Linked DNA regions of Arabidopsis thaliana. The protein of the gene in region 2 interacts with the protein of the main gene of each other region in a biochemical or structural test. Each region holds a gene or a part of one and is shown on either strand. Other genes may lie near its edges.

The links.
Region 1: the proteins of TRO (region 2) and BZIP28 form a complex in vitro, tested with the Arabidopsis thaliana proteins (one study listed by BioGRID).

Annotation. Positions count from the first base shown.
Region 1 is NC_003074.8:3,377,610-3,382,432, reverse strand, and holds BZIP28 (Basic-leucine zipper (bZIP) transcription factor family protein), read right to left. Parts: upstream 3,266-4,823; 5' UTR 3,108-3,265; coding exon 1,532-3,107; intron 1,455-1,531; coding exon 1,003-1,454; 3' UTR 812-1,002; downstream 1-811. Other genes in the region: AT3G10810 (zinc finger (C3HC4-type RING finger) family protein), read left to right, coding at 1-414, 512-585; AT3G10790 (F-box associated ubiquitination effector family protein), read right to left, coding at 4,064-4,823.
Region 2 is NC_003070.9:19,072,435-19,077,272, reverse strand, and holds TRO (TRAUCO), read right to left. Parts: upstream 2,946-4,838; 5' UTR 2,875-2,945; coding exon 1,611-2,874; intron 1,319-1,610; coding exon 1,053-1,318; 3' UTR 728-1,052; downstream 1-727. Other genes in the region: ABCG13 (ABC-2 type transporter family protein), read left to right, coding at 1-141; AT1G51440 (alpha/beta-Hydrolases superfamily protein), read right to left, coding at 4,719-4,838.

The DNA.
Region 1 (4,823 bases), on a different chromosome or scaffold from region 2:
ATCACCATCACCATCACCACCACCACCATCACCATCACAACCATCATCACCACCACCACCACAATCTTAGCCCGAAAATGGCTCCCGAGGTTTCACCTGTGGCCTCTCCTGCTCCTCACAGAAGCCGTAAGAGAGCTCCATCTGCACCTCCACCCTGCAACCCAGGGAATAGAGTACATTTCAAGGAGAAACGCGTGCAGTTTTCATCCACACCTGCGCCTGCTCCTTCTGCTGGGGCACCACATCATCAGCTGCACTCACCGGCCCCAATTTCTGCAGCCAAGTCTCATATAGTTCCAATCTCTGCCCCTCTACCACATGTGGTGTTTGCCCATGCAGCTCAACCACCCATAACGGAACCACGGGAACCACATGCAAACGAAGTTGCTCATCCTCAACCGCAGTCCTCTTCATGTAAGTTGCTACTTAAAGTCTTCCAATTTAGCAAAGATATATCAAATCATAGACTCCCAATTCTAATCAAATGCCTTCTTCTTTCTGTGTTTGGCAGCAGCGATTGAGGTTTTACCAGCTATGCCATGGATTGTCCTTCTCATGCTGATAGTGGCCTGGCTTCATGAATAACGACATTAACATGTCTAGTAAACTGTATCGACAGAGTACTCAAAACTTTTAAATGTATAAAATGAATTCATATGGAAACTAGATACAGAACCGGAAGAGTTGTTATAGAATGATGCTGCACAAAAGGGTGCAGCCTTCTACTTAAGTCCCAATTGAATATATATGCTCTAAGAGCTTCTTTTGTATATTATATCTTCTAAATTAGAAAAGTTCTGCAACCATCGGATGTATTATACAGCCTAAAGCTATTGGAAATGCCTTTAAAACAAGGATTCCACTTTATGCTTATCTCAAAATTAAAATCCAAAACCTTAGAACATAAGAGTTATACAACACAGGGAAAAAAAGTCAACAAGGTCTGTATGTATAAACAAGTCAATGTTCGCCTACTTAAGGTCAAGATCTGAGTAGCTCAAATCAGGTGGCTACGAGATGGAGACCCGATCGAGGAAGAACGCATGAGTAGGTAACGTACTTGACACTGTCAAGAAGCACCACCACAAAGATCCGGGAAAGTGATTTTGGGTTTGGGGGAACCACTCTGTCGGTTTCAGAGTCAACGACCTCTCTTGGATCAAGTAACACTGAGACAACCATGGAGGATGATGATGTGGGTTTGTTAGTGTTTCCATTAAAGGTCTTATTTTGAGCGTCTTTGTTTGGCTGGGTTCCGGTGATATTGAGCTCTGACGCCACAAGTGAAACAGGAAGTCCCTCAAGGATTCTCCTGTTCTTCATTCTCTTGCCGTGGGTAGTGACATTTTGGAGATGCTCCGCAGAAATGCTGGAGACTGATGACGGGACTATAGCACCAGGAGCAATATCAAACTGGAAAACCTCGGTGCACATGCTGTAATCCATTAGTGGCCCTGCAAGAGAATGCAATGTAGAGTTGAAAATCCAGATCACTCCATTTAGTAGAAACTACATAGAGAACAAGAATTACCTGAGCCACCTTCATGAAACCATTGGTGAAGTCTTTTCCCTTCAGAAGAGAGAGCTGTTGAATGCGGAAGCATTGCTGCATTTCCTCTTACCCCCGGAACAGCTAATGCAGAAGACAGTGCACCAGGAATGGTCAAATCCGGTTCTTTAGTTTTTACTGTTTCAGTGATATTCTTCTTTCCTAAACCCCTTGCTTTCTCGCTCGCCAAAACAGAGTGAATTATCAAGTTCCCATCGATCTTCACAAGCCCATCGTTTCTTGGGACATAGAGAGAAGCAAAGAGAGGATCACTGGCATTGCTCAACGAACTTGGTCGTCCTTCTACTTTCGGATGAGCATTATAATCTACTCCTCCACAACTATCTCTCTCACCATGACTAATCCTACTAGAATGGATATTTCCTTCAGAAATTCCACTATTTCTTCTAACATCAGAACCATCGCCGACCATTAAAACCCTCCCCTTATGTTCATCGTAATACCGGTGGCCATCATATTTAGACAAACCGCCAAAGCTTCCACGTTCTCCTCCAAAATTTACATTCATAAAAGGAACCAATGTACCAAACAAGAAGACAAAGAAGAGAATTCCAATAAAACTAATACTAGCAACCTTCTTGAGCTTACTTTTACCCTCATTCTTCTTACTCTCTGCCTTCTTCGGTCTACAACTCGAGACAGGCTTAGGATTTAACTTAGGAATGGGAACCAAAGGTGTCTGTGATCCATATCCCCTAACAGGATACGGCGGATACGGCATCCATTGATACGGTAAAGGCGGGGCAGCCATATAAGGATTCATAGGAGGAGCACCAGAAGCAACAGCCATTTGTTGCCTTAAAGCGACATTCTCAGCCATAACATAAGCAATCTTACCATTCAATTCAGCAATGGTAGCATTCATACTCTTCACTTTTCTTTCAAGCTCCTCAGTTTGTTGCTTCTTCCTCAACCTCGAAAGCTGAGCACTTTCACGGTTCCTAATCTGCCTTATCAACTTCCTCTTGTCGTCGTCATCATCACCTTCGTTGTTCGTAGCGACTGATTTATCATCGGACTTTTGGTACTTGCAGCTCCTTAATTCGCCACTGGAGTCTCCATTTTCCTTCTTCCTCTTGCTAACAGAAGATTTCTGGTGATTGCTTGATTCAGGGGAGGATGATGCGTCAACGGTGTCGGACACAAAAGTCTTGGAGCCTTGAGATGAAACCTGTGAATGAACAGACTCAGATCTTCCTTCTAAACCTCCATCGCCGCTTCTGTTTTCCGATGAGTCCAAATTCGAACGATTGTTACCGATCTCCTCAGGGATCACCACCGCGGGCTCCGATAAATCGAAATCGAAGAAATCATCAGAATTATCAAACGAGAAATCAAAATCAGCGAAATCTCCGTTCTCATCGTCGAGTAAGAAGTCGAGATCGGAGATTGGCGCATCCATTGAAATCGGATCAGAATCAGATAGGAAAAGAGGATCTAGCGGCGGAATAGAAAACAAATCGGACTCAGAAAACATGCTAGGGTTCAGATTAGGTATCTCCGGCGGAGGAGCAACCACGGATGTTGATTCCGTCATCGTCGGAGGATTCGAAAATTTATTCTGGCTTCGCTTCTCGATGGTTCCACACGGTTTATAACTTTGGAACAAGGCAACGTCGACGAATATACTTAAGAATTAAGATTATATTACATCCACGCGCAGTCAGCGCGTGTACATCAAACTCCGAACACGTGTGTATGTTTAGTCAAACAAAAACTATCTACTTATTGGCTTGTTGCTTGGGTTAAGAAATTAATGGTGAAATGTTACAATGTGTTGTATGATGAATGTAGTTCGTTTTATGATTTAGTGAAAATATTGAGGTATTTTTGCTATTTCAGAATCGATATTAGTTTTATTTTCTTATACATAAGATTTCTTTATGAAATAAAATTCAAAAGGCGACCAAAATGATGATAAAGATCCATCTAGCCAAACACAAAACTCTTTGTTCTCCCCAAAAGAAATCAAATAAGAAGAAAACCGAAGCTGTATAAGCTCCGCACAAAACCAGAGATTATTATAATCAAGTCATAAACATTTTTCTTGTTAAGTCATAAACATTGCATTCCAAAGATGTTGAGAAAAAAAACATTGCATTACAATATTCCACAGACATAAATATCCATTGATCAAAAGACTAACCAATGGGTGACCATCAAATCCAATAAGAACTAGTCTTAAACAAATAATATCCGACCACTTAATTGAAACTTGAAAAATAAGAAAAGAAAGAAGAGAGATTAGTTCATGCAACACCAAAGAACTCATCACCAACCGATTGCCTTATCTTTGGCAGAACCATAGGATTCTCTACATGATCCAAAAAGACTTTCAAAGAAGTATAATAACCAATTCTTTTGAAGCAGATTTTTCTAGCTGTGTGTTCCTTGAGATCGTAACACAGTAAATAGAAGGGGCCACGCTTTAAGCCCGGTGTAAATATAAGCTCGCCGGTTCCAAGTATACCCGTGAAGCTGAATGGTCGAAATCTATATATCTACCCAAGAAGGAACCAAGACACAAAAGTTTGACCATTCTTGTTTGCTGGCATCTTCTAGAATCCATACAAAAAGTCTATCATTACTAGCATATAACAAATTCGTTACAGCTATCTTTTCGCCGTAGTTCGCTAGAACTTCGACGGCCGGCCTCGGTAACTCAACGACACTAAACTTTTCAGACCCCACAACAAAGCACATTAGCGACTGATCATCATTGACCCTAGCGAAGTAATAGATAACCCCATTGCTAAATATTCCTTGAGTTCCAGGAGTAAGATAATGATTAATCGTACATTCGATCATTCTCCATTTCTTCTGTTTACATCCTAGAGTGAAAACTTTATGCTCCTTGGACACAATATTTCCTGATCTACTATAGTACTCATCCGATATCGTCATGCACAAGACTTTGTATTCATCCTTAACATGATCGTATCCAAAGAAGGGAAATATTTCTTGGTATATTTTGGTTCTGACTCTCGGTAAAGTTTCAAATTGACAAGTAGTAGGATTTCCAATTACCACTTTAGTAGAATTGTTTAGACAGCAGATCAAGCCACGAACAGGTGGAGAAAAGTCATACCAGATACGCGGATACGAATCAGGGTAACAGCCAACCGTTTGATGATCAGAAGATGGATCCTCTCGAGAGCAAGAGTGGAAGAACTGCATATTTATTTCTCGATCGTCGACTGCCAAAAGAAGACGTGGTCGATTCAAAGATTCAAAGAACTTTATTATCAAATAC
Region 2 (4,838 bases):
CACATGTTATACACAAAGAGAACTCTGAGCCATATCCAGAAAAGGCCTTCTTTCAGAAGAATGACACCTTTCCCTTCCAGGCGATACCCTGTTCACCATGCTCTCTCTTCTCAGGAAGGACTTAACTCTCCACTGCATTAGAAGCATATACAGCAGGATGCAATTTCCATATATTTCAATATGTCAGATGTCACTCTCTTCAAACTTGATAAACTGTTTGTAGCCCGTTGTGTAAGGAAAAAAAAAAGAAAAGAGAGATACTATCATTCTGACTAATGAGATTTGTTTAGCATGAGGATGGTATCTATCAGAGATACATATATTGGAGAAAAAAGATAAGCATGGCTACATTATCAGATTACAAGTGATGCATGCATGAACCCCTAAGAGAGAGTCTACCAACGAACCACCGTAAATATATCAAATAAGGCACTTCGTTTGCTAACATAGCTTCAGAAGAAACTGTGTTATGGAAATCAAATAAACAGAAGATGGTATGGAGATTTGTTACCTGGCTGGCAGTAGAACACTGGTCCTTGCTTGATAGCACCAGTGACGCAAATCTATAATCTGTGCAGCACAAGAACAGAACAGACCAGGCATATTTGACTTTTATCACTAAGTGCCATGAAATCTCCTCTTTTAGCATATAGTTGATAGGGAATAGAATCAAAACTAACAAAAGTAACCTCCCAAAGGCGTTTGTTGAACAGATAGAGAACAAACAACGAGATACTTAAAACCTTAAAAGTGTAAAACCAAGCAAAAATGGTAAATTTTCAACTTTGGGAACCCAAATATAAGCTCCCAGAAATATTACATAGTAAGGAAAAAAAATACACAAACAATCAATAACTTTAAACAAATATGGCTAATCCAGTTGTAAAATCAGAAAAAACCAGTCTGATTATTTTAGAGTAGACATGTACAGAACTCATTTGTTGTTCATTTGCTACCCTATGACTGTTACAACTAAACTCATCCAAATCTGAACCAAGAACTAGTTTGGGAAAACTGTGTTAAAATGTCAAGAATACGCCTGCTGGTTCTGCCTAACTCTTCATATCCTCAGAACCATTAGTTTCAAGTCTACCATTAAATCCATGATATGGAACCTCCCACATCGGCCTCGGGGTAGCACGCCCACCAAAATCCTCAGGGAAAAACTCAAAACTGGGGCCAAAATTGAACTTCACAAGACAATTTGACTGGTCGGGAAGAGTGTACATCGAAGCAGCAGGGTAGTAACGACCGCCAACAATATCTGTGAAGGCCGCTCCCTGACATACACCATTTTTGAAGAACGATATTTCACTGCCTGCATCAGAAGTAAAGGTATCGTTAACGAAAGATTGGTCATTAATCTTCCAGAATTGCACAGATACCATCTACATCATAGATGTGGAGGGTAGCAAAAACAAAACTAAGGCATTTATCTTTATGAAGAATCTCCACTATCTATTCTCTACCAAACCATGATAAAGCTACCATCACAAGCAACAACATTCATACACATTTTTAGTCTACTTAAAACATATGCGACTACCAAAAAGCAGAAAAGTCACCCCACAAGAACACGAAAATTAAAGAACAGGTGACGCATGACATACCTGGTACAACTTTAGGAGGCTCCTCTTTAGCATCAGGTGCACAAATATATCTCTGCCCTTTATAAAACACATAATGAGGAGGCTTTGGAGCAAAAGATTCACCATCAGGAAGATTTATGTAGAATCCAATAACATCACCTTCCTTGTACCCTTCCTCAGCATATGTCTCCCTTAAAGCCTTATGTATCTTACACCCATCAATATCCCTAAACCCAAAACTATTCCCATCATACCCAACTGGAGCCTGCAAATCCCCTTTATCAGTCGACCACCCGAGTCGTGTATGACCAGTCTCACCTAAACTCAAAACTTTAATCTCAAAGTACCAAGCTCCTTCAACAACTCCTCTTGTAGCTCTCACCATCCTATACCCTTTACTACTTCCTGCAGTAAGTCTATCTTCACTTATCTCAACTTTCTCAGCTTTGTATACTTTAGAAAGGCAAATTTCCAAGTCAGGTGTATCGTCTCCCTTATCGGGAAATCTAGGCACCGGAGTTATCAATACCTTATCTTCTACAGCTGCTGGATTCGGCGTGTTGGCTTTACTCTTCTTCTTTCCCTTACGTGTGCTCTTAGTCACCCATACATTATTGTTCTTCTTCTTCGATTTAGATTTCTTAGCCGCACTCGCAACCAGAGTCGCCGCTTCCTCCACAACCATAGCTTCCGATGGAAGCACTTGCTCTGGCTCCTCCTCTTCCTTAACAGCGACTGAAGTAAGACAATCTAGCTGCTTAAGCTTCTTATGCGGTGGATCATCTTGCTCTTCATCTCCTTCGTCTTCTTCCATTGCGCTACCGTTCTGATTAGCCACAGAATCCAGTTTCGGAGATTTAGGGTTATCGGAGGAAGAAGTAGTCGGAGCTTCTTCAGAGAATGAATCGGATTCAATTTTCAAATCGGATCCGGGTTGATCAACATCCATAGCTACTACATCTAATTTCTCTAAATCAGTATCGATTGGTTCTTCAATTATACCGGACGATTCCAATGGCGCTAAATCATTCTCTTCAGAAGGAAGAAGAGCGGTTCCGGTGGTAGTTCCTTCGAGAAGAGAAATTGATACTTCTGCTTCTGAAGCAGTTTCGATTGATTCTTCGACAGCATCGGATGATTCCGGCGGCGCTGAATCGTCCACCAGTTCGGAGGGAAGAAGAACTCCGGTAGGTTCTTCGGGAAGCGATACTGAGACTTGTGCTTCTTCAATTTTGGGATTTTGTTCAGCTTCTTCAATTTTGGAATTTGATTGAAGAGACTCCATTGAAACAGAAGTTTTTTTTGATGCAGCCAGTTTGTGGCACTCGCCGACTTGCAAATTTTTGAGAGACTGGCGGATGGCAGAGAAACAGTGAATTATTTTTTTTAAATGTTAGAGACTTATGTGGGCTTTATGAGGCCCAGTAAGAAACTAGGGTTTGGATAAGGGGTGTCCATGTTTTCTTAGTAGTTTAGTCCATTTAAAAATAAAAACGGTTTATGCATCTAACAATAGATTATTTGGCTTTCTCATATATTTTTTTCTAAACTTTTATACTATTATTTGGAAAGTACTATTATATAGAACATTTGAAAATAGTTTTACTTGATATTTTTAAAGAATGTCATCAATACTTAATAGATCAAAAAGTTAAAAAATTATAAGTACTCTAATTTGATCTTTTTATAATAGATATATTTATAATTGGTGGTGGTTAAATATAATGTATAATACGATGGAATGAGTTATTATCCTTATTCTTTACTAAAATTTGTTTATCCTATCGCTTGCATAAAAATATACATACTAATAAAAACTTCCGATTACTTATAAATTGAGCCAAAAACCAAATGCAAGTATTAAAACAACCACAAAATTTCAAAGAAGTAGGCATACGTCGTACAAAAAGTTCACAGCCTTCTTTATTTCTAAAGACGAGGTATTCTAGTCATCCAACATCTATTCAATCCCAATTTTCCAGGGAACCTATTCGGAATAACTCTTCTTTTGCTGGATTATTACCAATATAATCATAAAACAAAATTTTCAGGAATTTTAGCTCAAGCTTCTCGTAAAATATTAATAAAATCGATTTTTTTATTGTAATAAACTTAAAAATTAATTTCATATTATTTAAAATTATTAATTAGTTGAGAAAGGTCAAAACATGAGATTCATTGATGCATTGTATGGTGATTATGGGAAGGAAGTCACTGAAATTATTAAGAAGGATCCTAGTCTTGATTTAGCAAAACAAAAAAAAGGATCATGGTCGTGCATTGCCTACAATGATGAAGAAGAAGCAAGAAGAATGGAGTACATGCCTTGCTGAATTCAAGGAGGTATGGACTGAGATATATATGAAGAATTTTATCAAATTAATCCCTTGATCACAAAACATATGACAAGGAGAGCAAAGCTCGAGTGGTTAAGAAGGCTGAGAGAAAAGAAGGTTGAGGTTAAAGCACTTTCTGATTCCTCAATGCATGATGTGAAAGATTTAGAGATCTCAATGGACAAAAAGAGCTTTCTGTATATTCATGAGTTACGATTTTCAAGTATTTAATTAGATTACAAAGTCATATCTTAAAGAATCTATCAAAACTATCTATATATAAACAACTTTAACTCGAAAGATATGGAACAACTTCTTGTTCTGTTTATTGTGGAACATATCGCATTATCTGTTAATATGATGACAACTCTGAATCCTTTAATTCCTGTCGTGCGCATATTGTAATTGTTATATCATATTTTGGGGAACACAGAGATTTATGATTATTATTTTTTCAAGTGATACACGCACTCAATGCCCTCTTAGCATGCACTTTGTTGTGGTCCACTTTTCTTCCACGTTATATTTGTACGAATTTACCGCTTAACTTTTAACCAATGAAAGTTGTATTGGATCTCTCCTAAACCACATATATACGTGATATCATGTAACCACATATTATATATCTAATCATAGCTTATACATGACAGAGAATGGGGGATGGTGATGACCTCCATAATTATAGAAGTTTAATTAAATCATTAATCAAACACTAACATACTCAATTTATCAAACGTGATCCACACATTAATTACGAAAATATTTTTATAACTATTTATATTTAATTTTCGACTTAAGTCGTTGTGGGTTTAAAATTATCATCGTTAACCTTCCCAAGAACTTGTTGAAGATGATGAGCGATATCCTCCGGTCCGTGAGGTTCAAGCAGTGGTCGGTCCGGAAGAACCCACTG